Canis lupus familiaris: one gene and its partners. The protein of the gene in region 1 interacts with the protein of each later gene in a pairwise test. Links are inferred from orthologs where the notes say so. Each region holds a gene or a part of one and is shown in the gene's direction. Other genes may lie near its edges. The genes, in order: PLEKHB2, CDA and C15H1orf94.

Region 1 (10,123 bases):
TGGTGATAGTGCACTATGATTTTCAATTCATATTTATTGAATAGTATTTGTAGCTATGCACAAGTCATAGTGCTGGTGAGTGCTTATGAACTTTGCCAATTATGGTGAAATACTGTATTAATAGCCTAAGAGAACTACTTTGACCTGAATTTGGGTTAAAGAGATTAAAGAATTAAAGAAAAAAGAAAGAAAAGAAAGTTAATTTTACTAAACCAGGAAACTTACTAGGAGACATTTCCTGCTCTAACTCCTGGAACATCTGCATAAACCAAACTGGGTTCAAATATTACTTTTTTCTGGGGCACCTGGGTGGCTCACTTGGTTAAGTGGCTACCTCTTGAACTCAGCTCAGGCCTTGATCTAAGGGTTGTGAGCTTAAAGATAGATAGATATAGGGCAGCCCGGGTGGCTCAGCGGTTTAGTGCCGCCTTCAGCCCAGGGTGTGATCCTGGGATTGAGTCCCAAGTCGGACTCCCTTCATGGAGCCTGCTTCTTCCTCTGCCTGTGTCTCTGCCTCTCTCTCTCTCTCTCTATCCCTCATGAATAAATAAATATTTTAAAAATATAGATATGTATAGATATAGATAGATGTATCTAGATATAGATATATATAATTTTTTCCTATTGTCTAAGTGATTTTAAAGTTAAGTGATTAATTGAAGAAAATTTGGAAAATACAGAAAAATATGAAGAAGAAATAAGTCATCCATAGCCCCATCACTCAAAGACAATGTTTGTGTATGTTTGGACACTCCAAATCCAAGCCTTCAAAGATACCTAAAACTAACACAGAATATAGGGCTAGCTTTACCACTTACTGAAAGAGGTCAGGAACTTCAGTGATGTCAGGCAATTTGCTCAAGCTCATGCTTGGGTGGTGGGACCAGGAAGAATTCTAGATGATTCCAATCTTTGAACTGTTTGTTGACTAAGTCACACTATTTTGCAAAAGATTAGATTGGAAGGCATCACAGGATTCCCCACCCTGTATTACTTTTCAGAGAGGAGCTGGGTTAAGACGTGAACTTTTGCCATCAGAGTCTGGAGTTTTGAAGACCATTAACTACTGGCCTTTCCTATAGATTTTTTTAAAGTGTGTGTATGTGTGCGCGTGTAGAGAGAGAGTGCAAAAAAGTTTACATGCAGATGTTAAAAATGAGAAAGCAGTCCCAAAATGGAGATACTTTTGCTAAATTCCACACTAGCAAACCAAGATTTAATACCTAACCTAATTGTAGTTTCAATCTCCCAGGAATAATCTTTAACCAGACAACATGGAATTACCTGGTAAACATAGTGAGATAATCCTCTTGATAGACCCTTACTGATCTCCTTAGGCAGACAACCTTGCCTGAAACAGTGCATTCTTTGCTAATAATTTTCTTTTCCTATCCTTTTTTTCACCTTGAAAAACCTTTCCTTTTCTACAGCTCACTGGAGCTCCTTTCTATTTGATGGATGTGATGCTGCCTGATTTGTGAATCATTGAATAAAATCAATTAATCTCTCAATTTATTCAGTTAAATGTTTGCTATTCACCACAGAGAAGAAAACAAACCTGAACTGTACAGCTTGATAAATGTTTAAAAAATTCACCTTTTAGGAATAGGGTTGTGAGAAGTTCCCTCAGGCTACTTCCCATAAAGGGTACCTACCCTGATCCTAGAGGCCCCACAGGGTCTTAAGAGCATCTTAAACGTTTAGCAGTAAAGATAACTAACGTTTCTACTTTTTCCCTCCAAAAAAAGGAATTTTTTTTTATTTTATTTTTTTATTTTTTTTATTTTTTTAAATTTTTATTATTTATTTATTTATGATAGTCACACAGAGAGAGAGAGGCAGAGACACAGGCAGAGGGAGAAGCAGGCTCCATGCACCGGGAGCCCGACGTGGGATTCGATCCCGGGTCTCCAGGATCGCGCCCTGGGCCAAAGGCAGGCACCAAACCACTGCGCCACCCAGGGATCCCGGAATTTTTTTTTTAAATAAACTTTTAAATAGTCTTTTAAATTTTTTTAAAATTTAAATAAACTTTTTATACTGGAATAATTTTATTTATTTTAATATTTTAAATATTTTATTTATTTGAGAGAGAAAGAGAGTGAGTACAAGCAGGGGGAGCTGCAGAAGGAGAGGGAGAAGCAGGCTTCTGCTGAGCAGGGAGCCTGACACAGGGCTGCATCCCAAGACCTGGGATCATGACCTGGGCCAAAAGCAGATGTTTAACTGACTGAGCAATCCAGGTGCCCCTATTTTTTTTTTTTCTTAAAGATTTTATTTATTTATTCACGACAGACAGAGAGAGAGAGAGAGACACAGGCAGAGGAGAGAAGCAGGCTCCATGCAGGGAGCCCGAGTTGGGACTCGATTCCGGGTCTCCAGGATCACATCCCAGGCCGAAGGCAGCGCGAAACCGCTGGGCCACGGGGCTGCCCAGGTGCCCCTATTTTGGAATAATTTTAAATTTGCAGGAAAGTTAGTATGCTCTTCACTCAGTTTCCCCTAACAATGTTTACATCTTACACAATCACGGTACAATTATCAAAACTAAAAATTACAAGTAATTATGATTAATTAAAATGAAGACTTTATTTGGAATTTACCAATGTTTTCACTAACATCCTTTTTCTGTTTCGGGATTCCACCCAGGATTCCGCATTGCATCCCACATTGACAGCTTTTCAGTGTTCCCTTGTTTTTCATGACTTTGATGGTTTTGCGGAGTAATGATGAGCTATTTTGTGGAATATCCCTCAACTAGGATTTGTCTACTTTTTTTCTCATGGTTAGACTGGCAGTATACTATTTTTGGAAGGAAGACCATAGGAAAAGTGACATTTCATCACATCATATCAACATGACTTCACCAGGCCGATGTCAACCTCATCACGTTTGGATGCCGTTTGTCAGATTTCTCCACTGGAGTCATTCCCCTCTCACACTACTCTTTGGGAGGAAGTAATTATGCAGATTTAGGGGTGGGTCGCTGGAGATTAATAGCCCCTCTGGATGGGGTATGATCTATTAGAATTCTTCTATGGAGAAGACTTCTGTTTTCTCCCCATTACCTTACTTACACGTGGATGGATCCTTACATACTTGTTTTACATCTAAGCTGTGACCTAGTACCACAGACTTCGTTTTGGTGCTGACTTCCCTAGCGAAGTCGGTCCCGGCGTCCTCCCACACGCCTCCGAGATCAGAGCAGTTTTCGTGCATCCCTCACTTCCGGCTCCCCCCCACCCCCCCTTGCCCCTCCACCCTCTCCCCTCCCCACCCCTCCTCCACCCTCTCCCCTCCCTCCGCCGCCACCCAGGCTCCGCCGCGGCCCCGGCCCCGCCCCCGCCCCCACCCCGGGCCCGCCCCTCGGGGCAGGGCGCATGCGCGCGGAGAAGGGTGACGTCGGGCGGCGGCCAGGAAGCAGGCGCGAGGCGGTCGGAGCGGCCCCCGCACGGCGTCCTGCGCTCCCCAGCGCCTGCGTGGGTGCCCGCTGCGGTCCGCAGGTAAACGTGTCGGCCCCGCGGGGGCGCCCCAGGCTTCCCTCTGCTCCCCATCCCCGAGTTGGCTCCTCTAGAGCCTCCCCTGGAGCTGCCCGGCCCGGACCCCTCTGGCAGGGCCCCTCCAGACCCGCCCCCGCCCGCGGTACTCCAGTCCTCCCGCCCCCGGCAGCACCCTCAGGGCCCGCCCCGCCCTCCCCGCGGGGATCCCCGCCCCCTCCAGCGCCGCCAACCCAGCGCCCTCCTGAGGCGACCCCCGCCACCTCGCCTCCCTTCCCGGCGTGGGCCGCCCAGGAGCCCCGGGTAGGGCAGTCCAGCTTCGCGCGGCCTCCGCCTCCCCGGGCCTGGCCCTCCAGAGCCTGCTCTAGGGCCGCGGATTCCTCGGCTGCGGCCGGGCCCAGACCCGCCCAGCGACGGGCCGCTCCAGAGGGGACGGTCCTCGGCCCTCGCCGCCCCCCTCCCTGGAGCCGCGCCGGACTCCTCCCGGCTCGGGTTCCCTCTCGGCTTTCTGGGGCCGGCGCCTCTGGAGCCTTCCCGAGAGCTGCGCAGCCGCGCCCGAGCTCTCCTGCTGCCGCCCCCGCTCCCCGCAGGTGCGGCTCCTCCCCCCCCCCCCCGCAGGTGCGGCTCCCCGCAGCTCCTCCCCGCCACTTCTCTGCGGGCACCGCGCTCCACGCCCGCACCGAGAACGCCCTCTCCTTCAGGAACCCGGACCGCCGTTGAAACGGTGCACTGGCGGGTTTTACCTACTCCTGGCTTTGCAGCGAGTGGGTAGTCTTAGGGCTGTGGTATTACGTTATCTCTTCCCCATTTGAACCTTTCACTCAGCCAGATCGGGAACTCCGGAGCTCGGGGTTTTAATTTTGCGTCCGCACAGAGTCTTGTTTTTACCTTATATGTAGAGTAATTTGCATAGAACAGGCCTCATTAACGTGAACGAAAGTAAGTTTCTGGTTTTCAGGATGGGTAGAGGGAATGTGGTCATCCTGTAAAAAAAATCTAGAGGAACGTAGTTCATTCCCAGCGCCATTGCTCCTGGAGAATCCTTTTTTTTTTTTTTTTTTTTTTTTTAGTGTCTCCTCTGACTAGAACAGGGTGGAGCCCCTGCCCGAGCCCAGAGCCGTTATGTCGAAAGGGAGGGAAGTACCTGGGTCTCCTGATCGGGCCAGAGCTTACTTGTGGCCTTCATTATGTGTCCAGCAGGCCGGGGACTCCAGTATCGGAGTATATGTGATTGTGCATCCCGTCTGTTCATGCCAGCCTGTACTTGGGAGTGAGCATGCCCGGGCTTTACTTCTTGAGTTAGTGATTTTTTTACTTGACTCCCCTCCCCTCTCCCCAACGTACTGATTTATGAGGACAGGAATCCAAAATGTCACAGGATCTCCCTGGCAGACAGCACAGTGAAGTACATGCTCACTAAAGGAGGCTGCAGAGAAGAACCCAGAACCTGACAGAGGCTCTTTACTAGCATATTTTTAATGGTGTTAGCACATCCTGTAAGTAAAATTCCTAATAATCTCAGGGACTGAATTTGTAAAATTTGTTCATGACTGGTAGTGGTATAGAATGAATAGATACCAATCTTCTTGTGATAGTCATGTTACTTCCTGAAGGATAGACTTTTTTTTTTTTTTTTTTACTCCTTCTAGAAGCTTTACTATGCTTCCCAGCTTGCTACCCTGTTAATAATTGGTTTCTTTCTCCTTACTTCTGTCTTTTTCTTTCTTACTGGATGTCTAAAGAACAGTATTAGTGTCTGTAAGTATGAAAAACTGCAGAGTAAACTATTAAACGTTACAAAAAGTGGACTATTCATGTTTTATTGGTCATATGTTTGCATCTGAATTTGATCATGGGGACAGAAAGTTGAACTTTCTTGCCTGTCTAGTGGGTCTCCTCATTGATAAGTGCTTGTATGAAGCTTGCTATTAAGAAATGGTTGCTACCTGTCAGTGGCCAATGCTACAAATGAACTGACCACTAATGATGGGTTACCCAATGCTTGTCCCCTGTATTTAGAGAGGCTTGAGAATTCTTATTGCCTATTTTTTTTTAAGATTTCATTTATTTTAAAGACTTGAGAGAGTGTCTAGACAGAGTGTGCACACACAGATGCAAACATGATGGGAAAGGGCAGAGGGAGAGAATCTTTAAGCAAACTTAACACTAAGTGTGGAGCCCAGCGCAGGACTTGATCTCACACTTCATGAGATCATGACCTGAGCCAAAACCAAGACTCAAGTCACTTAACTGACTAAGCGTCCAGGCACCCCTAAAAATTAAAAAAAAAAATTTTTTTTTAAATTTATTTATGATAGTCACACACACAGAGAGAGAGAGAGAGAGGCAGAGACAACAGGCAGAGGGAGAAGCAGGCTCCATGCACCGGGAGCCCGACGTGGGACTCAATCCAGGGTCTCCAGGATCGTGCCCTGGGCCAAAGGCAGGCGCTAAACCGCTGCGCCACCCAGAGATCCTCTTTTTCTTTTTCTTTTTCTTTCTAGGTTTTATCCGTCTATTCATGAGAGACACTGAGAGAGAGAGAGAGAGAGACAGAGAGACAGACACAGGCAGAGGATAAAGCAGGCTCCATGCAGAGAGCTCAATGTGGGACTCTATCCCCGGACTCCGGGACCACACCCTGAGCCAAAGGCAGCTGCTCAACCGCTGAGCCACCCGGGTGTCCCTATTTACTTTTTTTGAGATGGAGAGAGTGCACACAAGCAGAGGGAGAAGCAGGCTTCCAGCTGAGCAGGGAGCCCAATGCAGGACTGAATCCCAGGACCCTGGAATCATGACCTGACCTGGAGGCAACCGTTTAACCGACTGAGCCACCCAGGCACCCTTGAATTGCACTTCTTAGGAAAAATAATAATTATAGCCATCTCTCCTTTTGGAGCAGCTCCTATGGGGCGCTTTGGGCTTATTATCTCAGTTAATTCTCACACTAACCTTATGAGATAACAGTAATGTCCTGTCGAATAGGTAAAAAAAAAAAGTGGGTCTTGGAGGTTTAGTATTGTGCTCAAAGTCATATGTTAGTAAAAAGGTAAAGCTCAGAACTACCAGATTCCAAAGGCAATATCTTTCTGTTAAATTGATCTCTTTTGGATGCACCTGGGTGGCTCAGTCTGTTAAGCATCTGCCTACAGCTCAGGTCATGATCCTAGGACCCTGGAATCAAGCCCCACATCAGGCTCCCTGCTCAGCAGAGAGCCTGTTTTTCTCTCTCCTGCTGCACCCCCCACCCCCGTGCTTGTATTCTCTTTCTGTCAAGTAAAATCTTAAAAAAAAATTGATCTCTTTTGGATTCAGTGTTTTGTTTTAAAGATTTTGTTTGTTTGTTTTAAGATTTAATTTATTCATGAGAGACACAGAGGCAGAGACATAGGCAGAGGGAAAAGCAGGCTCCCTCTGTGGGACTCGATCCCTGGATCCTAGGATCACAACCAGAGCTGAAGGCAGAAGCTCAACCACTGAGCCACCCAGGTGTCCCTATTTATTTTATTTTAGAGAATGCATGCACGCATGAAGTATGGAAGGGCCAGAGGGGGAGGGAGAGAAAAATCAGACTCCCTGCTAAGTGCAGAGCCCCATGTGGGGCTTGATCTCATGACCTCAAGATCACAACCCGAGCTGAAACCAAGAGTTGGATGCTAAAGCAACTAAGCCACCCAGGCACCCCTGGATTCAGTGTTTTTAAGATAATTTCAGTTCACATTTAAAATAATTTGAATTGTTGAATATGGTTTGTATTTAAAAACTTCCTATAGATTTACTGGCATGTGAGTAATGTGGATATTTTGCAGCTAGTTTGCTGGTGTTTTATTCTCTGGAGACCACGAGCAGGCCTTTTATCTGATGGGTTTTAGTTTATGCAATAGATCTTGCTCCAGGACATAAATAGTGAAATTTTAAATAAGTTGCGAAGTGATGTGGAATATAGCAAGGTAAGGCAAAGAAATATTCTTGTTCCTCAAGAGAGGGATTTGGAGGGGCACCTGGGTGGCTCAGTCGATTAAGCATCTGCCTTTGCTTAGGTCATGATTCCAGGGGCCTAGGATTGAGCCTTGCTTTGGGCTGCCTACTCAGCAAGGAGTCTACTTCTCCTTCTGCCCCTCCCCCTGCTTGTGCTCCCTTTCTCTCTCTCTCTCTTTTAAATAAAGAAACTCTTTGGGGGGGGAAAAGATGGATTTAGTTATGTAGAATGGGAGGTTTAATTTTTTTACAATTTTTTTTTTTTTTTTTTTTTAATTTCAGGGGCACCTGGGTGACTCGGTGGTTGAGTGTCTGCTTGGGGCGTGATCCCGGGGACCTGGGGTGGAGTCCCTTATTGGGCTCCCTGCAGGGAGCCTGCTTCTCCTTCTGCCTAGGTCTGTGCCTCTTTCTCCATGCCTCTCATGAATGAATAAATAAAATCTTAAAAAGATTCCATTTATTTGAGAGCAGCAGAGAGAACACATTTGGGTGGGTGGGGGCAGAGGGAGAGGGAGAAGAAGACCCCCCCACTGGACAGGGAGCCTGATCAGGGTTTGATTCCAGGACCCTAAGATGATGACCTGAGTTGAAGGCAGACGATTAACTGACTGAGCCACCCAGGTGCTCCTTGGGAGGTTTTTTGTTTTTTGCGTTCACTTCTAGTGTATATGTGTTCAAATTTTGACTTTCAAGGGTATCTTAATTTATTAAGTCTGCAAAGTCATTCTTCACAGCTTAATATTCTTCGGTCTTCTGGAATGTTTTGGGCAGATTTTAGTCAGGTGGCTAGTGAGGAAATATAAGTGATAATTGCTGTGTGAGCAGCTCCCATTTCTTGAGTTTTTGTAAATGTCAGGTATTATGCCAAACATATTATTTTACCCAATTGTCCAAATGTCTGTTAAGTAGGTATTGGTATTCTCATTGTACAGATAAAAAAACTAAGGCTTGGAAAAGTTAAGTAACTTGCCCAAGGTTATTTATTATTTCCCAGCCCCTGCCCCTCTTGTTCAAGGTTATTTATAAGTGAGTGAGTCAGGATTTGAACAAGTGTAAAATCTATATTTCTTGAACACATGTTCAAATCCTGACTTTTGTCTCTACTGCTGGTGTCTTTGTGATTTATGCCTTGTTTTCCCCCTAAGTCATTTTAGTTGCATTTCAGGAGGGAGTGGAGTTAGCTGTTTGTGCTCCTTATAATCCATCACTGATGTTGAAAATAGCAAAGCAGTCACTGGCATGGGTAATCTTGACATTACTGGTATATCTTTTGTCTTGGATTCCCATTTTAAGATTACTATTGTGTTTTCTCTCTGAAAATAACTCTCATGTGAATTCCAGTGTTTAGTGACAAGAAATACAGATTTTTACATATCTATGTAATACATCCGTTTAACACAGAGCGAAAAATGAAAAGATGGACGTTTAAAGTCGTGTGGTCCTCCCCCCCCCATTGTTTCCAGGTAATCTCAAGGCAGGGCAGGCTAGCAGGATCTGGGATCAGGAATTGGGCTAGGCTGATGAGTAGCGTACTTCTTGTAGGCAGTGGCATTGAGTGCTCTGTAAGGCTGAGGGGCAGGTAGGCTCAGGGATAATGTCCCTTCCTTCTCTGCTTTGTGGTCAGGATTCAGGAGCTTGGTAGGGTACAGACTCTAGATAGAAAGATGTAGCTGTGGTCTAGCTTAGGTGAGGTGAGTCATTTAAGGAGCAGGTGATAGCAGCTACTTATTTAAGGACTTGTTGCCTTTGGTGTATCTTATTTGTAGTGCCCAAAGTGGAGGGTCTATATTGTGTTACATATTGCTTATGGGTTGGGAGCCAGAGGCTAGGATGCTCTGGCTTTGGAGGCTGAGACTAAGGCTGATGAGATAATATGCTTTCTGTGGTGGTGGTGATACCAAAATGATGCCTTGACAGAAGAAGCTAGTAGGCACAGTTAAAGGACACAGATCTCTTCAGTGGTGTTAAAGAACTTGTTTTCCAGCATTCAGATGAGTGCCCATCTTGCATTTCTGTTAGTTGACAAAATGCCCTGGCCTCAGTCTTCCAAGAAGATGTGCTGTGGTGGGCCCAGTTAGAGTGAGGATCCCACAAGGGGCTTCAGGAAGCTTTTATTGTCATGAGACTTTAATATTTTCTTGGTTCCTTTTGACTTTTCTGGAGACTGTCTTGTAAATGCCTGCACAGCAAGTGCAAGTAACCAAACTCAGTGTATTCCTGAGGGTGTGAATTCAAGGCTTTCTCCTGAAAGTCCTTCTTTTTAATAGTAAATTTTAGGCTGCTTCAAAATCTATTCCTCCAGTCTTCTCTACTGCCTAAGCTTTGTACACTTGAGTTCTTAACTCAGAAGTCCAGACTTTTTGCTAAAAAAGAAATTGTAGCATGTTAGCGAACACAGCAAATATCTCTTCCTATTACCACAATAACCATTTGCATTATGTACTGAGGAGAAGGTACTCTACAAATCAGTGTTTCAAGTTTTTTTTTTTTTTAAGTCTGTCCCGTTGTGTGGAATCTGAACTCACATTGGAACTTGTGTTTTCTCTACCACATTCCATAGCATGTCTGTTCATGCCATTTGTCCATTTCTTGAATTGGATCTGTTGGTTTTTGAGTGTCGATTTAGATAAGTTCTTTATAGATTTTTA
Region 2 (10,123 bases), on another chromosome or scaffold:
CCCCATCCCCACAACTTCAGTTGCCAGTTGCAAGCCCAGATTGTCACCTGGGCTTCTGACCAACCAGCTACAGATCCAGAGGTTCCATTAATTTGCCAGAGTGGCTCACAGAACTCAGAGACACATTGTACTCATAGATCACTGGGTTATTACCAAAGTATATAACTCAAAACAGCCAAATGGAAGAGATGCACAGGGGTGAGGAAAGAGATGTAGAACTTCCATGCCCTCTCCAGGTAAGTCATTCTCCCTGCACTTCCATGTATTCGCCACCTCTGAAGCTCTCCAAACTCCTTCCTTTGAGGTGTTTATAGACACTTCATTATATAGATGGATTAAATAATTGGACATTGGTGACTGATTCAGCCCCTAGCCCCTCTCCTCTCCTTGGAAGTCAGGGGGTAGAACTGAAAGCTCTAACCCTCTAATCATGATATTAGTCCCCACCCCCACCCTCCCCACCCCCGCAAGCAGGCTTCATTCTCAGGTAGGGTCCCAAAGTCACCTCATTAACATAATCAAAGACACCTCTCATCACTTAGGAAATTCCAAGGATTTCCAGGGCTCCGTGCCAAGAACAGAGTCAAAGACCAAGTACGTATTTCCTACTATAAATGAAAATATTACAGGATACTTGCCATTTCCCTACTGGTTTTAGGAATTCTTGATACATTATGGATCCTAATCCCTCTAGGAGGCGTTAGCTCCCCTACACTTCTAGCCTACCCTGTGCAGGGCTGAGCACACTCCTGTACACTCAAGGGTATGCTTAATGTAGGAAGCCAGAGGTATGTCCAGGAACTGCCCACTGAAGCTGGAGGTGATTTCATCTTGTTTTATTTTTCCCCTCCCTTCCCCTGTGATCTTCTGTTTTGTTTCTTAAATTCCAGATGAGTGAGATCATATGATACTTGTCTTTCTCTGATTGACTTATTTTGCTTAGCTTAATACCTGCTGGTTCCATCCACATTGTTGCAAATGGCAAGCTTTCATTTTTCTTGATGACTGAGTGGTATTCCATTGGATATATATATATACCATATCACTCTCCATTCATCTGGTACTGGACATCTGGGCTCTTTCCATAGTTTGGCTATTGCATCCACCCACCATTTAATACTCCTGTTGCTTAGGAAGCTTTCTCCAACCCACCTACCACCACTCCCTCCAGACACTTAGTCAGTTTTGCCACAAGCCCCAGTAGCTACTTGTGTGTTAGAGTGTTTTACACCCATCCACTGATTCATCTGTCTACTTTGCTATAGCATGAAGTCCTCCAGGGCCGTTTCCAGGTCTTATTCACCCCTAATTCCCCAGCGCCCTGCACAGGGCCTGGCACACAGTACTTCTTATAATATGAACTAACACTTGCTAGTCACTGAACTAAGAGCTTTACATATAGCACCTAACTTGATCTTTTACAACAATCCTAGGAAGTAGTATGTTAGCTTAGATGCCAAGGGGTTGCCAGAAACAAAACCTAAACAAGTTTAAGCAAGAAGTGAGTTTATTGGTTCAATTGAAAGGAAGTCTAGGGGATCCCTGAGTGATTCAGTGGTTTAGCACCTGCCTTTGGCCCAGGGCGTGATCCTGGAGTCCCGGGATCAAGTCCCACATCAGGCTCCCGGCATGGGGCCTGCTTCTCCCTCTGCTTGTGTCTCTCTGCCTCTCTCTCTCTCTCTCTCTCTCTCTCTCTCTGTGTTTCATGAATAAATAAATAAAATCTTTTAAAAAAAATGAAAGGAAGTCTAGAAGTGTGTCTTCGTGGCCAAATCCAGATGCCCAGAGAAAAATCAGGGTTTTTTTCCCCTCCATCTCTCAGCTCTGCTTTTTTCCACCTGGCTTCACTTTACAAGTAGGCTTTCTCTACCCAGAGGGCAAGCTAGCTGTCAGCAATAATCAGATCATCCTAGCTTAGTAACCATGGTGGGAGAAAGCAATGTTCCCGCTGACTCAGCCGGAAAGCGAAGTCCCTGGCTGGCCACCCTGTGTCAACTGCCCATACCTACCAGGGAGCGGAAGCACCATGACTGGCAACCCACCAGTAGGTCTCCTCCAAAGGAACCACAATGAAGGAAATGAGACATCTATCTGAGCAGAACATGAGTCCAGTCACCATGATCCACCACAGTGGATACTAGAGCTGCCCCTCGTATAAATGAGGAAAGAGGGGCACCAAGTGATGAGCTAACCAGCCTAGGTGCCCAGCTGGTAATAAAAGGCAGAAGGAAGATTCAAACTGACTGGTTGGACGTCGAAGCCTGCACCCCTAGTTGGTCTATTATGCCAGTTTTCTGTGAGTTCTGGGACAGACTATAGCCCTTCAGATGGAGGCAAACAGACTCATGTTTGAGATTCCCTTCTGATCTCCATAAGTTCAAGTGTCCTCGAATCAAGAGAGTGAGGTTCTTGTCTCATGGAATCAAAGAATGAATCTCACAGACAAAGGAGAGTGAGCAGAGCCATACAGTTTTATGAACCAAGGGTACAGAAAAAGTTCTCAGCAGTGACAGGGTCCTGACCAGGTTGCCAACCTGAGCCTCCACCAGCAGTCTTTTACTTAGAACTGACCAGGGAGCTTGTGGCCTTAACAGTCTTGTGATGTCCTGGTTTGAGTAAGGACTGCTGACAACATCTTGAATGGCTTATTTTTTCTTTGGGGTTTGGTTATTCTTTGTGGCCACGATGTGACTGCCATAAAAAGACGCCACCTCTGAGGCCCAGGGCAGGTGGTCTGGTTTGTTTCCTTATCTCTGGTTTTCTTACATCTCAGCATTTCTGGGATTTGGGGTGAGGCTGATCGTGTAGTCCCTTACCTATCCCTCCCTACCTCACCCCACCTATCCCTTACTCATCTCCACCTGTAAAACATGGCACGTAGTATTGCCTGCATCTACCTTGTGGTGAGGATAACATAAATGATTCAAATCATGCATTTCACACGGGGCTGGGCACATGTAAAGAGATTCATAAGAGTTAGCTGTTATTATGAGTAACTAGTCATTGAACAAAGCAGTGAGTTAATGGTATCTGAACTCTAACAGAGGACTCTGGGTGGTTCTCCTCACAGAGGAAAGGCTTGGGGCTGGAGGGAAGGCTTTGGGCCCTGAGGATCTCCACCACCACTCAAAACACCTTGCTTACATATTCCTATTCTCTGAGCTGGGGAATTAACTTTTCTTAATTTTACATTGAGTGGAGATTAGAGCATGTTTAGAAAATGTTGTTAATATTATTGATCTAAAACTTAGCTCTGTAAATGTTTCCAGACCCACTCTCCCCTTCCAGATGGTCACTCCAAGCTCCTTGTGTCAGGAATTCTAGAATTACTACTGGCTCCCCAGCCCCATTCAGCTGGCTTTGCAATGGACACTGTCCCCATGTGTGATCAAGTGTAGGGAAAGAGCTTTGAAGGGGCCAAGGCCATAATTTTCATGGAGGCCACCCAAGTTCTCCTGATGCTATGGAGCCAAGGAGTCCAGCCCCAGTCCTGGGTAGGGCTGGGCTTAGCAAAAGTGAGTCCAGATAGGGCAGGGGACAGGGACAGGAACAGCACTGCCCGTGGAGGTCTCAGGCTTGACAGGCCAGCAGTACCTGTATTTCTTTTCCCATTGCAATTATACTTGGCTCCAAAAGCTTCAGAATTATTTCCATGTGGAGTGGGTGCACATGCTCCCCAGACAGCCTTTGTTTTCTTTCCTGGAAACTCAGGACATGGACCTTTGGGGTAGCTGGGTGGTGCAGCAATAGAGAAGCTGGGGGAACATTAGAGCTGGTTTCCCTGCCAGCCCTGCTTCAGATCCAGGAAGCTGCTCTAGATGCCAAGTGTGTAGAACCAGAAGCAAATTGCAACAGCGGGCAGGAAGGAAGCAGCTGCTTCTCTGGGGGCTGGATATATAGAAGGGGGGGCTGATGGGACGAGGGGAGGGGAGGGAGAGGAAAATGAAGCCGACTTTGCCCAGCTGGGTGTTTGCCTATATCTCTACGGGGCGAGAGCTCCAGGCTACAGGACACAGAGATGCTGGGCTGCACCTGTTTTGCCCGAGATGTTAGCATGCAGGATACGGACCCGCTGCCTCATTTCTCCCCCTGTGCCACCTAACCCCCCTGCCCTGCCCCGCCCTCCATCCGAGCCCTCAGAGAAGCGCTGATTCACCCCCACTTGCTACGGGTGGGGGTGGGGGTGTCTCAGACATTCAGACGCCTCTGGACGCTCCAGCTGGTGTTCTGCATTTCCTATGTGATCTGGGCCAAGTCCCTTAGTGACAGTCTGCAGGAAGTCATAAAGAGCGGTCCTGTCATGATGTCACTGGATCCTCTAACCGTGCTCCCTATACACACATGATCTCATTCGATCCTCACGACAACTCTGCAAGATACGGTGAGTGCACCCACTTTACAGATGGGGAACCTGAGGCTGCAGAGACAGGTGGTGATTAATCTCCTAAGGTCACATGGCTAATCAGCGGAAGAACTGGAATTCAAACTAGAGTCTACTAAACTCCAAAGTTCAAGCTCTCCTATAATCCAAGGAAGTAGAACAGAGATGGTCACTATCCTCACTGTAGGGATAGGAAACTAGCTCAGAGAGGTCAAAGAACCGGCCAGGGGTTGCACATGTGGAAAGCGGCGGTGCCGGTATGCAAACCCATTTCTTTAGCCACTAACCCAATGCTTATGTTGCCAACAGAAAAATGAGGAGGCCCGAGTAGTCCACCTCAGAGGTTCCCTCCACCTGAGATACTTTTAAATTCTGGGTTAAGACAGGAGTCAGAAGGAGAATGGGTGAAAATAAAGAAGCAATTTGGTCTTACTGCTTTGTCTCACACTCCCTGCCTCAGGAAGCCAGAGTGGCTGCCCCAGCTCTGCCCTTTCAGCCTCATCACATCCCCCAGTGAAGGAGAGTCATTCAACAAACTGAGGGGCATTTCAACCCTTGGGGCTTGGACTGCCCAGACCTCACACTGACCCCCTCTTCCTTGAGGAGCACGTGTGCACAGTCTCTCCCTACACGAGGGGGAGGAGGGCAGCCACGCCCTGACCCACTCGCCCTCGTGGGCACCGTGACACACACACGAGTGGTCCCGGGGCAGAGGGTGAGCACACGAGCACAGTCGCGTCCTTCCAGTTCTTCCGCTGATTAGCCATGTGACCTTAGGAGATTAATCACCACCTGTCTCTGCAGCCTCAGGTTCCCCATCTGTAAAGTGGGTGCGCTCACCGCGTCTTGCAGAGTTGTCGTGAGGATGGAATGAGGTCATGTGCGTATAGGGAGCAGGGTTAGAGGAGCCGGTGACATCACGGGGCGCTCCGGGGGTGGGGCTGGGGGCGGCTCCTCCCCCTACCCCCACCCCCACCCCCACACCCCCCTCCGCTCAGGGGCTCGCCCCGGGGGAGGAGCCAGCGTGGAGCCGCCGGCCGGGCAGCAGCAGCGAGCGGGCTTCCGCGCCTCCGCCACCCGCGGGACCGACATGGCCCACGAGCGTCCCGCCAGCGCCCTGGAGCCCGAGCTCGTGCAGCGGCTGCTGCTCTCCTGCCAGGAGGCCAAGAAGTCCGCCTACTGCCCCTACAGTCACTTCCCCGTGGGGGCCGCGATCCTCACTCAGGACGGGAGGATCTTCTCCGGTAAGGGCTCCCCGGTGCCCGGGCCCGCACCCCGGGGACGCTGGCAGCGCCCCTCACGCCCCTCACCCCCGCCTGCTGCCGGCCCGGACCTGGGGGTGCAGGTGCTGCTCAGATGCAGCGGCTTTTCAATGCTTTTCTCTTTTTAAGATATTTTATTTATTCATGAGAGGCACAGAAAGGGGGGGGGGAGAGAGAGAGAGAGAGAGAGAGAGAGAGAGAGAGAGAGAGAGAGGCAGATGTGGGACTCGATCCCGGGACCCCAGGATCACGCCCTGAGCCGAAGGCAGACGCTTAACCGCTGAGCCACCCCGGCGTCCCAACGACTTTTCAATTCTTAAGAGGACTGGGAAGCCAGAGGTGGGACGGGGAGGGAAGCTGAAAGGGGTGGTGGCCACAAGTCCCAGCGGGGAGGGAGAGGGCTGATACTTTCTGAGCCCACCCCCCCCACCTCCACCTGGTGGCACCTGCGGGTGGCATCAGCGAGTCCTCACCTCTCACCCACTCACCTCCGTGTGAGGCTCACGTTTCAATAAAGAAACTGAGGCCCAGAGAGGGTGACACGGCTTGCTCAAGGTCACGCGGGGGCACTGGTGGTGGAACCCAAGGCTGGCGTCCCCCAAACCCTGCTTTCTTCCCACCACCTACTGGGAGAGGAAAGAAACTCAAGAGCCCACGGCCAGCAGAGGGTGACTGGTTAGCGGGAGTTCCAGCCTCACAGGGGATCTTGGGGGAAAGAAGCCTGGCGAAGTTTAGGTGACCAGCAATAATGAGTGCTGGCCTGGGGAGGGCGAGAGTGCGGATGGTGGGAATGGGAGTCAGCACTGATCTGTTCCTAAGCTCCTCTTCTTTGGTTTGTTGGTTTTATAGAAAAACTTCCTTGAACAAAAGTTGAGACTTGTTTTTGCTAGGCTAAGAGGCATTCTCATTCAAAACAGTGGGGAGCAGGGTGAGGAAGTGGCCGGGGAAACCATGCCCCTCCCCACCACTCGGAGGGCAGATGAGGATTGGCACAGCGGGGACGGATGGGGACACCCAGCCCTGCTGCCCAGAATCCGCCTCTACTTGGCAATGACAGCTATTTAAAGGGACAGAGGTTCATGTGTGTACATCTAATCGATAACCTCCAGTGGGGAGCCACTTGCCCCCACTGTTGCTCAGCTGTGAGGCTGGCTGGGGGCCCTCATCTCCCCTTGTGTGGGGGCCCTCCTGGGCTCTCCTTGCTGTTCATGTTGTGTCCCATCGTTGAGGTTCTGTCCGGTTTCACGAATCACCTGGGTCTTCAACCTCTTTGAGCCGGAGAAGGAACTTTGAATGAGTGCTAGTATGTGAAAGGATAGTGAAGAATTTTGTCCATTGACCCTTATAACCCCTCAAGGCAGTTTTATATCTCAGGGAAGGAAACTAAGGCTCATAGAAGCTAAACACACCCAAGATCACAGAGCTGGGATTCGAACCCCGTGTTCCCCTGACTCCAGGTCAGCTATTCTGCAGGGAATCAAGATTCTTGGTGTGTCTCGTGGGAATTCAGGCCTGGCCTGGTGGCTCAGATGAGTATTAAATATTAACCACCGCCACAAACAATATTGCACCCCACACTGCCCCATGACTCCAGGGGCTTGACTGTGGAATCAGTTACTGGTTCTTTCCAATGATTCTTTGCATGGGTTCATTCATCTAACAAATATTTGCTGAGCACCATGACATCCTAGATAATGTGCCAAGTACCAGGGATATTGCAATGGCAGAAATGACGTAGTCTCTGCCCCCATGGAGGTCCCTCCTCTTACACAGGTTATGGTTCGAAAGGGAAGCCTCCCAATGGCTATAGGAGTGAATGAATGAGGAGAGCAGGAGTGTGGCCTATTTAAATTGCAGGGAAGAACCCAGGTGTGCAGTGGGGATTTAGGGAGGCCCTCTGGGATGGGGTGAAGGCTCTGGACTTAGAGACTCCTGGGTTTGAATCCTGGTGCTGCTGTTTATCAGCTGTGATCCTGGGCATGACCCTTCACCCTAATGTGTCTCACACATTTGTAAACTGAGGGTCATGCACCCACCTTTCTGGATGGCTGTGAACAGAGCTGGTTTGCCTATACCAGCGTGACATCAGGGTCCTCCCTGATAGTTGGTGCCTGTGCTGATCAGGCATAGAATCCTCAGGTCGTGAGCTAATGCCTATAAAGCGATTAGCACAGTTTCTGCCCACAGGAAGGACGCCACAAATGGTGGCAGCTTCTTCTCCTTCTACTATTAGTGGTATTATTATATACATAGATAGTATTTGGAGGCAGATTGTGGAAGACTTGTGAAGGCCAACCATTGACACTGAGATTTGATGAGCTAGGAAATGGAGAACCAGGAATGTTATTAAGAAGAGTAACATGAGGGCAGCCTGGGTGGCTCAGTGGTTTAGTGCCGCCTTCAGCCCAGGGCATGATCCTGGAGGCCCAGGATCGAGTCCTGTGTTGGGCTTCCTGCGTGGAGCCTGTTAGTGTCTCTGCCTCTCTCTCTCTATGTGTGTCTCATGAATAAATAAAATCTTAAAAAAGAAAAAAAAACAAAAAAGAAGAGTAACATGAAAGTAGAATTCAAAGTCAGTTAGCCTGACAGGTACTCAAGGAAAGCCAAGACAGAGGAAAGAGTGCCAGGCAGATGATGTCTGTCTTGCCTGCTGACCTGTCCACAGGGCCAGCCCATTGCCCAGCCTGTAATCTGCCCTCAGTTAAAGCTTGTTGAATGTGTGAATGAGTGACTCGGACTCGGACAGTGGCAGGTGGAATGATGATGAAGGAAAGACCTGAGGGCAACTCTATGGGACAAGTGGACTGGACTTGGGGTGAGCAGTACTCGAATGAAGGAAAGGAATATGGTTCTAGATTGTTAGCTGGGTAGACCAGGGGAATGACGAGGCACTGGCCTAGGTGGGGAGCTGAAGGCAGAGATGAATGGTGCTGAGGACATCACGGGCAGGGACCAACAGGTACAGTGGATTGATTGATCATTCAGTGATTGATCATTCACTAAGCACTTCGTATGGAAGATCTCACAGCCACCACATGAAGGGAGACAACGAGCGTCACATGCATTGGTCAGCACTTTGAGTTGTAAGTGACAGAAACCAACCAGAACCATAATGAGCAAGGGTAGATCTTAGCTCAGGGACAGCTGGATCCAGGAACTCCAATGTCCCAATGCCTTTCTCTATCCTTCTGGGTGCTTGTTGCTTTCCCCTATCCCGTAGGTGGGCTTTCTACAGGCCTCAGGGAACGTGAGTGCAGGCAGCCTCTGGTTCACATTCTCACAGCCTCAAAAGCAGAGAGGCAAGAACTGGTTCCCACTAGCTGGAGACGGTAAAATTCCAGAGAAGGGCTCTGACTGGTCCATCTCCAATCACATGCACACCCCTGGGCAATCACTGTTGTCATGGTGGAGTAGTGTGATTGGTCCGGCTGGATCACACCCACATCTATTCCCCATAGGGGGGAGGGGGGTCACAAGAAGGAGGCTGGAGGTGCCAAAGCCGAAGTCAAACACAACTGTACCAATGAGATAACTGAGGCCATGCTCTTTGTGCTGCCCCTTGTCACAGGGTGCACATGCAGAGCCGGGCAGAGAGAGGGTGCTGGGAGAGGGGGACGAATGGAAGACATTTACCCGAATCCCTGGGTCTCCTATAGATGGGAAGGGAGGGCTTGGAGAGGAGGGGACCTAGAACAGTCAGGGGAAACCAGACGGGGCACCATGGGGGTGAATTAGAGACAATCAGGAGGCAGAGAGGGCGCAGCTGAATTTAGATGCTGTGAGCTTATAGTTTAGCGCCCCATGGGTCTGCCCAGTTCCGTGACTTTTCTCCAGCTGCACCAAAGGCCAGCCTCTGTGCAGTTTCCCTCCTCAGAGGCGGTTGGTGCCCCATTCAGTTGAAAAACAAGTCTGACGCCCTTGCTGTCACGATCTTGTCATAACGATCACTTCCCCTTGACCCTGGCCAGGGTCTCATGGCCCTCGAGCATGGGCCACCAGGATGGTGATTAATCACGATTAATCACGGCAACAGTTGCCTTCTGTGATTGCTGCAGGGAGAGGGGGAGAGGAAGAGCCCATTGGGGAAGGAAGAGCTGCGGTGTGTGGGGGGACACAGAGGAGATGAGGCAGCAGCGGGGGTGGGGGGCGGGGGGGGGGGTTGGCTGGGGCAGTGGAGTCAGCCCAGGGCAGCCAGTGCTTGTGCAATACCAGACGGGAGGTGGTGGAGGAGTCGAGGAGACCGCTCTTCACTGACACCTCCCAAGAGATGGGCAAGTTTGTCCTTGGGACAATGCTCTCTCTCCCTCACCCCCTCTCCCTAGAGGGACTTGAGCACCCTATAGGGGTAAAGCCACTTTACTGGATGTGGCTGTAATGAATTCTGGGAGGGACAAACCACATTTCTAAAAAGACACTTCAAGGTGTCCTGGGCACCTTGAATCCAGCTTGTCTTGGCTTTAACCTTTAAATCTGATCCTTC
Region 3 (10,082 bases), on another chromosome or scaffold:
CAGAGCAGGAGGTGAAAGGCCAAATGCATGCTGACTTTTTTGCTACCTTCCTGGGGCCACCACTGCCAAGCCAGCCAGATTCTTTTCCTCCATCAACTATGGCTCTCCTTTTCCCTAACTTTATCTTTTTTAAAAATTTTATTTGTTTGAGAGACAGCATGTGCACAAGTGGGGGGAGCAGCAGGGGGCCCAACTTGAGACTCGATTCCAGGAACTTGAGATCATGACCTGAGCCAAAGGCAGATGCTCCACCGACCCAGGTGCCTGCCTTTTCCCTAACTTCAAGTGGACCCCTCATAAGCTACCGCTTTTACTTTAATAACTAGTAATAAACAATAGTCGGCATCTGTGCCGAGAACCTGGCATTTTCCTATCCGAAGCTCTTCCCCCTCGGCACCTGGCACCGGTCTCTTGTTTCGATCGCTTTGCAGATGACGAGACGCCAGAGAAGTTAAGCGTGTGTGAAGGCCCCGTAGTCGCAGCAGAGCGGGAGTTCAAGGACGTCCACCCCACAGCCTGAACTCTTAACGATCTCCTCACATGCGGGCAAGGAGTGGGGATGAGAACAAGAGGAGAAATCCCCTGGGTGAGGGTGAGGATTGCTCATGTTGCTGCCGGGAGGGAGAAGCCAGAGTCAGCTCTGCTTCTAGAGCATTCTGGTGTCCTTTCCAAAGTCCTGGAGGTGGCCGGGCGCTCTGTGGCTGGGTTCGGTTTCGGGGACAACATCCAGGAAGGCCTGCACCTGTGACACATGGCTGCACCCTCCTCTACCTCTAGCTCTGATGGTTTGTCCCTCGGGAAATTTACCTGGTATCCCCCTCGGCATCTGCCCCCACCCCCGGCCCCCTCTCTGGGCAGCCGGACCCCTTAGGGCACCGTTGGCCTGGGGATGAAGGGGGGTCCTCTATGGGGTTTGGGGGGGCCTGCAAGGAAGTTTGAGACCTAAACGTGTTTTCATTAGCTCCACAATACCAAGATATAGAAAACTGCAACATTAAAATCAGTAAATACAAAAATAAATAAATAAATAAAATAAAATAAAATCAGTAAATATTTAATTAAATGCAAAATGTGACGTTACGTCAGCTTCATTAACGGCTGGATTTAGTAGTCATGAAAATTTCATCACGTTTGATGACAATTTGTAGGTTGGAGTCTCCTCGCTGTGCAAGATTTCCCAGGTAAAGCACCAAGAGCCGTAAGAAACGAGAGCCGACCGTAGATTAAATAAATCACTCATGGCCAAACATTTTCAAAAGCAAAATGGCAAAAATCCTTTCAATTTTCTTTTCCAGCCAAAAAAGTTATATTTGTGGTGAGAGGTGGGTGTGTTTAAACTATGTTAGATGAGGGATAGGGCCCTCCAAGAGGAAGCTGGTTTTGGCCCGTGAAGGTCTTAACAGAGCACAGGCTGCACCCACCACCTGGACGTGTTCCCCACCCTGGCCGGCAGGTGACAGCGACCAAGGCCCTGTGAGTGAGTGGAGGCTTCGGCTGGGGAGTAGGGAAGGAGAGTTGCTTCTTCCTGAGGTTTTCCTGCTTCCAGACTGAAAACCGAGGCTCTCGGAATCCTAGATAATGGTAGCTAACATTCACTGGCCCCTGTCCTGAGCTCTGTACCTGTCACAGAGCAGCTCCACGAGGTCAGCATTTTATTGTCCCCGTTTCACCAGATGAGCAAATGGGGGTATACCGGGGGCAAGCAATCTGCCCAGCATCATGAGGGCAGTAACAGGCAGTTTAAGAATTTGTTCAAACCAATCGAACCCACCGTTCAAGGTGCCAATGGCGGCCTGGTCCCCGCATTCAACGGTCGCCCATTCCACGGACACCACTCCATGTGCTGGGCACCGAGACGCCTGCGTGCTGCAGGGGCACCACGACATACATTGAGCAGGACCCCAACAGGCTCTGATGTCCCCAAATCTGCTGTGTGCCAGGGACTTCTGGAAAGCTTCGCTCCCTTCGCGCGCCTATGACGACGTCTAAGTTAGAGGTTTTATTCATCTCTTCACCCTGTGTCTTGCACAATCTTGGCCCGTGGCAGGCGCTCAAAAATGAACAAAGCCTGGAAGGGCTTAGTTGATGACTTGAGTCTGTCCCTTCCTCACAGAGCAATTTCCCCAGTGCAGCTCAAGTCCTCCCCTCCCTACGCGTTGCACAAAAGCTGTTATTTAGAAACCCCGGTAGCACACATTTCAGCGTAATCAACAAAGGGACGGATATACGGCACTGCTGTGCGTCTCTTACGGGCCACGCGTCCCGTGTGTTAAGTCGTGACTCAGGAATAGCACGTCCACCATGATTCTGCAAAGCAGGTGTTCTTTGTTATCATCCTGTTTTATAGATACGACCAAGTGTTAGGAGCTAAATAGTGTCCCTCCAAATTCATATGTTGAAGCCCTAACGACCCCCCCAAAAAAACTCAAAATATGGCTCTAGGTGGAGATGGAACCTTTAAAGAGTGATTAAGGTAAAATGAGACTCTGGATTGGCTCCTAATCTGGGATGACTGGGGTCCTGATAAGAGGAGGACAGGTGCACCGAGCGAAGACCATATGAAGGTACAGGGAGAAGCCAGCCAGCCAGGAGCCCACGAGACGCCCTGCCGACACCCTGGTCTTGGAATTCCAAGCTTCCGGAACCGGGAAGAAATGCATTTCTCGGGTTTAGCCTCCCTTCCTGCGGCATCCCTAGAGAACCAACAGGCCAAGGCACAGGGTAATCTGTCGCCAGAACCCATGAACTCAGAAGTCGAGTCCGGGTAGTCTGGCTCTAGAGCCCATGTGTCTCATGACCACGCAGATGCCCCCCACGCAGTCCAAAATGGCAGCCGCGAGCCACATGCGGCATTTGAAATGTGGCCGATGTAACTAAGGAACTCAGATTTTAACTTAATTTACATTAAAATAGGATTAAAATGAAAATAGCCATATGTGGCTAGCAGCTACCATATCAGACATAGTTTTATACTATTTCGAATTACTTCGCTTATGTTTTCTGCAGAATCTTCTGGAAACCTCAGCTGTGTGCTCCAAGAAACATTCCCTATCCCTGCTGAATTTTATTTTATTTTATTTTTTTTTCAATCCCTTCCAATTTAGCCCCTGTTGCCTAGCCTCCTGCTGTGGGGGGAGAAGGAACAGGAGCGAGTGAGCTGGCTAACTTTCCAGAATCCTGTGGCCGGGGCAGGGCCGGGCTGTTGGCCTTCTGCTCTAAGCATGGGTGTTAGCCAACCAAATGCCAAGCAGCACAAACACTGAGTGACATTTTCAGAACTATTAATATTTCATCAGAAATGATCACTTTTCCTTTAAATACACTATCTTAAAAGGTTTTCTACATTCTTAACTATAATTTTATTCAGTCTAGGTCCTCAGAATTTTCCCCAAAGGAGCACATCTTCAATTTTATAATGAAAATCAAAGGCGAATGAAGCTCGGATTTCAAAATTGAGAGTCAACATTCCCAGGAACTCAGGCCTTCTTTAAAGAGCAAAGCTGTGTATTGGGCGCCGACTGTATGCCAGGTACTTTACAAATGATATAGCATTAATTCATCCAACATGTATTTGTTGAGTGCCTACTATGTGCCAGAAATGTGGTTTTCATAAGAATTTTCAACACCATTTTATAAAAAAAAAAAAAAAGGATTCTCCTTCTGTCTCATCTCCAATGTTACACCTGAGCTCCTCAAGGAGGCCTACCTGGCCATCCATCTGATGCTGCCACCTTTCCCCTCCCCCTGTCCTCCCCTATGCCTTCCCTCTACCTGTTGGGGTCCTTTGTCCAGTCTTTATAGGACAGGTGACCAGGGTCCTAAGGTTCCCCGGGTGAAGAGCCAGACCAGGGCTGTATTTCTGCTGCCTCTTTACTGGCCCACGAAGGGGACATTTTTCATTCTGCATGGACCACCCAGTTGTCAATCCAAGGCCCTTGAAAACCCACACTGGCCTAGGCTGAGGGTCGGATGCCCGTGGCTTTCCCTGGAGGCCACTCCGTGATACTTTCCCTTTTCTATGCCCAATTCGAGGCACTGGCACACGTGGTGATGGTTAGTTTCCGTCAGAGCCCTCGTTTCGTCTGTAATTAGTGCTTATTTACTTCGCTAGTGTGCGATCTTTCTCCTTACACTAGAATACAGGCCTCAGGAGAGCAGGGACCGTGCCAGTTTGCTCACCTGCATGCGTCCTCGGTGCCCGCATCTCACCTGGGGTGCTCAGCCAATCCTGGGGAATGAAGGAAGGAAGGCGCATAGGGGAGGTTAAAAGAGGGGTTGGGCCCCCCCAGCCAGGAGGTGGCCGTGGCTGGTCTCTTCCCATCCACTCTTCTCCCAGTCATCTGGCTCGCTCTCCCTTTCCTGGGTGGACCCCTGACCCCCGGGGCCGTGGAGCCCTGGGCAGGCAAAGTGCCGCATCAGTTCTGAGTTTAATGAAGCCCATCCAGGGAGAGAGGTGAGCTCACTGGGCCGCAAACTGCTAACCTAGCCCTTCTCTCTGGCCAGGAGCCCCTGACCCCACTGCCCCCCGCTCCCCCTCCACCCTGGGGACCTGCTGAACCCAGCTCAGGAGGGATCCCTAAGGCCGTGACGGTTGGGTGGGGCCTGGAGGGTGGGGGCCTGGGTGTGAATCCCAGCTCCTGTCTTCCTGGTGGGCTCTGGACCGACCCCCTCTGACCCGCAGACTGCGTTTCCTCCAGGCCCCACCGGTAACAAAGGTACTAACTTCACGAGCTTGGTGGGTTGGCTAGGACACGGGAAGCCCAGAGCTTGGCACACGGTAAGCGCCCCCCAAAAATGTCAGTTTGGGTCCACATCGGCGGTTCCGGGCAGGGCCCCCGGCAGGTGCAGAGCTTGTGCATGAGCGGCGGGCGCGACGGGGCAGGTGCAGGTGCAGGTGCCCCCGGGTCGTCCCGGCCCCGCCCCCACCTGCCCGGGGGCCTTGGGCGCCGAACCCCGAACCCAGCGCCCGCGCTCCGCTCCGAGCCGTTGCGCTTGGGCCGCAGAGGAACCCGGCGCTGGGCCCAGGGTGTGGGCGCCGGCAAAGTCGGCCCAGGCAGCGGGCCTGCGGGCAGGTGTCTGCTGGGGTAACGGGGGGGGGGGGGGGGGGCACCCCGGGGTCTGCCGTCCGGAGCCCCAGGGCGTGGGGGCGGGGTCCCTGGGAGGCCCCGGGACGGTGGGCGGGACCCCGAGGGCTGACCCCGCCCCTGCCGCGCCTAGCACCTGCCCCCGGCCCTGACCCAGCACCTGCCCCAGGCCCTGACGTAGCACCTACCCTAGGCCCTGACCTAGCACCTGCCCTGCACCCTGCCCCAGCACCTGCCCCAGGCCCTGACCCAGCACCTGCCCTGCACCCTGACCCAGCACCTGCCCCGGGCCCTGACCCAGCACCTGCCCTGCACCCTGACCCAGCACCTGCCCTGGGCCCTGACCTAGCACCTACCCTAGGCCCTGACCTAGCACCTGCCCTAGGCCCTGACCCAGCACCTGCCCTGCACCCTGACCCAGCACCTGCCCCAGGCCCTGACCCAGCACCTGCCCTGGGCCTTGGCCTAGCACCTGCCCTGGGCCCTGACCTAGCACTTGCCTGCCAGGTCATGACCTAGCACCTGCCTGCCGGTTCCTGACCTAGCACCTGCACCAGGCCTTGACCCAGCACCTGCACCAGGCCCTGACTCAGCACCTACCTGCCAGGCCGTGACCTAGCACCTGCACCGGGCCTTGACCCAGCAACTGCCCGCCGGGCCCTGGCCTAGCACCTGCGCCAGGCCCTGACCCAGCACCTGCCCACCGGGCCCTGACTTAGCACCTGCGCCGGGCCCTGGCCTAGCACCTGCCCACCAGCCCTGGACTGGGCTGAGGGCTGCAGGTGTCACGGGGGCGTGGCGACGGGACGGCGGGGGCTGCGGGGAGAGCCCGCCCTCCCCCTCCAGCTGTTCCCAGATGTCATTCTGCCCGCCCAGGCACCCGGTTCCTGAGCTCAGGGGGGTTCCACGGTTACTAAGCTACTGGTTTTTGTTGACTTTCAAATATTTTCTTCTACGGGAGAGGGGGAGGGGGGCAAAAGTCAGAAGAGAGCAAATAAAAGCAAATCAAAATAAGCTCCCCCTCCCCAAAAGAGAGCGGTGCTCCATCCTCCCCTCACACCCACCGCGAAGGCCTCTGAGCACAGCCACCTTGCTGAAGCAACAGCCACGCAGAACTGACCTGCGTCTGCCCATCCTCATCTCCCTCTCCGGTGAATGAGGGGTGGTGGTGGATGGTCCCCCTGTCTTCAAGCCCTGGGCGGACGAAGGGGCCTCCGGAAAGACAGGAGGAGGATGGCCAGTGGAAATGGGCTCCCTTCATCCTCAGCCCTGGTGGCCAAGCGCCCCTCCGCCCTGGGCCCATTCCCCAGATACATCTGGATCCACCAGGACACACCCCAAGACAGCTTAGACAAGACTTGCCACGAAATCTGGAAAAGAGTTCAAGGCCTGCCCGAGGCCTTGCAGCCCAGGACCGTGAAGGAACAGCTCTCTGCCCCGGTGGCTGGGACTCCGAGAGACAACGGGCTCAGCTTCCAAGAAGGGTGAGTGTCCCCGTCTGTGGCTGGCACCAAGGGAGGAGGGAGGAGCCGAGGTCCGACCTTCTGGGGGAATGTTCTGGCCCGTTGTTGAGTCTGGTTAAACCCTTAGGCTGTATATGCCTTCTCTCCACCTGTTGGGGTCCTTTGTCCAATCTTTATAGGGTGGGTGACCAGGATCCTGAGCTTCCCCGGTGAAGAGCCAGACCAGGGCTGTATTTCTGCTGCCTCTTGACCAGCCCACAAAGGGCTGGTGTTTTTCCCTTTGCCCAGGCCACCTAGGTGTAGATCCGAGGCCCTCGAAAACCCTCACCGGCCTAGGCTGAGGGTCGGATGCCCGTGGCTCTCCCTCCAGGCAGCTCTGCGATACGTTCCCTTTCCCGCTCCCAGAGGCTAGGCACTGTCACAGATGAGTCTGGTGGTTTTAAACCACATCTGGAATTCCCTAATACAGGGAGCAGCTGTCCCATTCAGCCTCCACAGAAGCCGCTGCAAGAGCGCACATCAAAATATTTACTGGGAAGGCATTGACATATTCAGAGGGCACAATAGAAAATTAAAGTGCGGGAGGATGGCTGTAAATAGCCCTTTTCCTAGTTGGGGAATCCTGTGCCTGGGAAACACAGAGCTCAATGTTGGGCAGATATGATTGGGGCTGGAAATTCGCAGGGAAAGGAAGGAGAGAGCGCGTCAGGAAAAGCGAGCGAAGCGCCACGGCCGTCAGTGCCACTGTGAGCCCCCAGTCATGTCTGGCATCCTCAGAGTGGGCTGCAGACGTTAATTAATCCTCCCAGGGTCCCTAGGAGGCAGGTATTGGTGTCCCCATTTTACAGATGGATTAAGTGTTAATAATTAAGTGCTAATTGAAGACTAAGTGATAATTAAGTGTTGCCTGCTCCAACACATGCTCCAGTTCAAGTCGGAGATGCCGGATGTGGGGTGGGGGGGCATCCAGGCAATCACCAACGATGTCTGGTTTCGGGGATTTCTAGAAAAGAGCTGGGAAGAAAGGCGAAGTGTGTGCAGGTGCCCCAGGTGCACTCCCTGCTGTCCCCTCTCGGGCTGCCGACAAAGGTGGAAGGCACCCGGCTGTCACTGCTCACCCTGCCCTGTGCCCAGCACCATGCGGCTGGAATGGGAATGGCCCGTCTACTGGCCGAATCCTGCCGCCAGCCCCCCAGTGGCGCTGAGCCCCCCCTCTGCTGCCCATTGCCATCTGCTCCGGGATGGAGCCCTGGCAGGGGGCCTCGGGGCTGTGCTCAGCACTCGGTGGCCAAGACGCTGATCGTTCACTTTGTGGACCAAGGGTCAGTGGCAATTTCCAGTAGATGGCACCCTCTCTGCCAGGTCACACTGAGCTAATGGACACAGGTCTGCTTCCAGTCTGCGCTTGGCCCCAAAGTGAACTGGTGCACCTTTGCCCAGTGGCTCAACTCCATCTGGCCTTGATGTCTTTTCATCTGCAAATTGAGGGTCATCTGCCCTGCCTGGTCCACCTCAGAGCTGATAATGAGGATCACAGGCCTCGGAGACAGGAGCCCCCCCCACCCCCCCACCTCCAAAGCTGCATTATGCAAAGGAGGCTGTCCTCACACGGAATTCTCAGAGCTTAGGGTTTTTTTGTTGTTGTTGTCGCTGCTGGCTTCAGTCGGGGGTTGTCACACTCTGCTCTTGGACCCTAAGGGGCTTCAGGGGCCACCCTAGAATCAAGGGGCTAGGTTGCTGGGGCACCATACCCACTTTGGCCAGAGGGCTTGCTTGGCTTTTTGGGGTTTTGTTCCCTGGAGTTTGCAGGAAAAGCAGCATTTGGAAAAACAACAACAACAAAAAAACAATGGTTTTGCCACTGAGAAAGCTCAGAAACCCCCGCCTGAGATGAACACCCCATGTCAGAAGTGTGTGGCCATCACCCAAGTAGAACACGAGGGGCTCTTGTTGAAACCCAGGCAGCCGTGACGGCGGAGCCCCGTAGCTGCTTCAGATCGTGCTGTGGGATTTAACCTCTGCGAGCTTCAGTTTCCTCATCTGCCACGTGGAGACCATCTCCACCACCGCAGTGGCCTGTTGGGATGATTCAGCGGGATATTTAAACGTCCCTGGCAATAATGGTAATAACTAGGATCCGTATAAACTCCTTGGGACAATAACGATGACGATGATGACTTTAAATTATTATGTGAATTATTATGCAATTATTATGTGAGGTTGGTACTATTTTAAACTCTCCCTCTTTTTTTTTTTTTTTTACTTTTTATTATGCAGATGTTCCCATGTATACAATAGAATAAGGTCTGTCTCCGAGGTTCATGAAGTGTCACATTTGTGCCATTCTCGGTCCGATTCCTCCCCTCCCCGGGGTTTTAATGAAACCCGTTTTGCAGAGGAGGTCATAGGCTGGGGGGTTGGGGTCTCTGCCCGGGGCCCCGGTGGTTACAGGGTGCTGGGGTTTCAGAAAGCACACCCAGGTTCACCTGAGCGACCGTGCTGTAGGGAGTGCGGGCTGTTCCCCGGAAAGTGGAAGCGGCGTTTGGGTCCTCACGCCACCCGACAGCCTCGTGGGCTGGATGGTCACACACAGATGGCGGGCTTCGAACCCAGTGAGCTGCCCGGTGTGTCTGCGGGATGGCTGCAAGCCCCTGAGATACCCCTCAGCACGTCTTCCCACTGCTTAACGTGCAGACCCGGTTTGGGTGATGTTTTCTGCTAGATAAGTAAGTTTCAGAACCCCTGTTGGCCAGAAACGTCTTGTGGACTCAATCCCTGTATATCACAAAATCCCAGATGTGTCAGGGTTGAAAGGGGTATCGGAGGCCGTCTTCTGCTGCTTGAATCCCTCAACATCCTCGCCAAGGCGTTACCCGCCCGTACATTTTCTTAGATGACAAGCTCACCACCTCCCGAGATGCGAATGCAGGCTGTCAAGGGACCGTTTCCTTCCTACATGGCATCTGTCTCTATCAAACGAACACCCATGGATCTGGATTCAGATCCACGGGCTTAGGGCTGCAAGCTACGTCAACCCCCTCGTTCTTCCAGCCGCTCTTGAGCTATTAAAGGATGGCGCCGGCGTCCTTCCTGGGATTTCTGGTTTCCGTAGCTGATCGTTGCTGGTTTCCTAAGTTTCCCTTCCCGCGCCAACCCGGTCAGCTTTCTACGCTCACTGTGGTCCCCGTGACAGCGCAGTGACCGGGACCGAGCACGGTAACCCAGGGGTGACCCCAGTCTGTGCAAACTGGATCGTCTCCGTATTCTGTGTTCATGCTAAAGCCGATGAATAGGACGCATTCGCTCTCCTCCACGAGCCAGCTTCATAGTGTGCGCACATTCTGAGCTCGTCCATTCATCCATTCATTCAGCTATTAACTCAGCAAATCCTCAATAAGCGTCAACTGTGTGCCCGGCAACGCGCTGAGAAGGAGTGGGATGGAGCCCCGGGCTGGGTGGGGCTTTCCGTCTGGGAGCTTCCTCTCAAGCTGGAGACAGAAGCAGAAAGCAAGTGAACAAGATGCTGGTGGTTCTG

What was found.
Region 2: the proteins of PLEKHB2 (region 1) and CDA interact in binary tests that used the Homo sapiens proteins (3 or more experiments, as listed by UniProt). The two-hybrid records come from large-scale screens. The link is inferred for Canis lupus familiaris from reciprocal best matches to the Homo sapiens genes PLEKHB2 and CDA.
Region 3: the proteins of PLEKHB2 (region 1) and C15H1orf94 interact in binary tests that used the Homo sapiens proteins (3 or more experiments, as listed by UniProt). The two-hybrid records come from large-scale screens. The link is inferred for Canis lupus familiaris from reciprocal best matches to the Homo sapiens genes PLEKHB2 and C1orf94.

Annotation. Positions count from the first base shown.
Region 1 is NC_049240.1:22,062,461-22,072,583, forward strand, and holds the start of PLEKHB2 (pleckstrin homology domain-containing family B member 2), read left to right. Parts: upstream 1-3,379; 5' UTR 3,380-3,380; coding exon 3,381-3,503; intron 3,504-10,123. UniProt on the Homo sapiens protein: Involved in retrograde transport of recycling endosomes.
Region 2 is NC_049223.1:77,723,540-77,733,662, reverse strand, and holds the start of CDA (cytidine deaminase), read left to right. Parts: upstream 1-5,391; 5' UTR 5,392-5,471; coding exon 5,472-5,625; intron 5,626-10,123. UniProt on the Homo sapiens protein: This enzyme scavenges exogenous and endogenous cytidine and 2'-deoxycytidine for UMP synthesis.
Region 3 is NC_049236.1:7,757,466-7,767,547, reverse strand, and holds the start of C15H1orf94 (uncharacterized protein C1orf94 homolog), read left to right. Parts: upstream 1-4,966; 5' UTR 4,967-5,072; exon of another isoform or gene 5,073-5,084; intron 5,085-5,591; 5' UTR 5,592-6,239; coding exon 6,240-6,568; intron 6,569-10,082.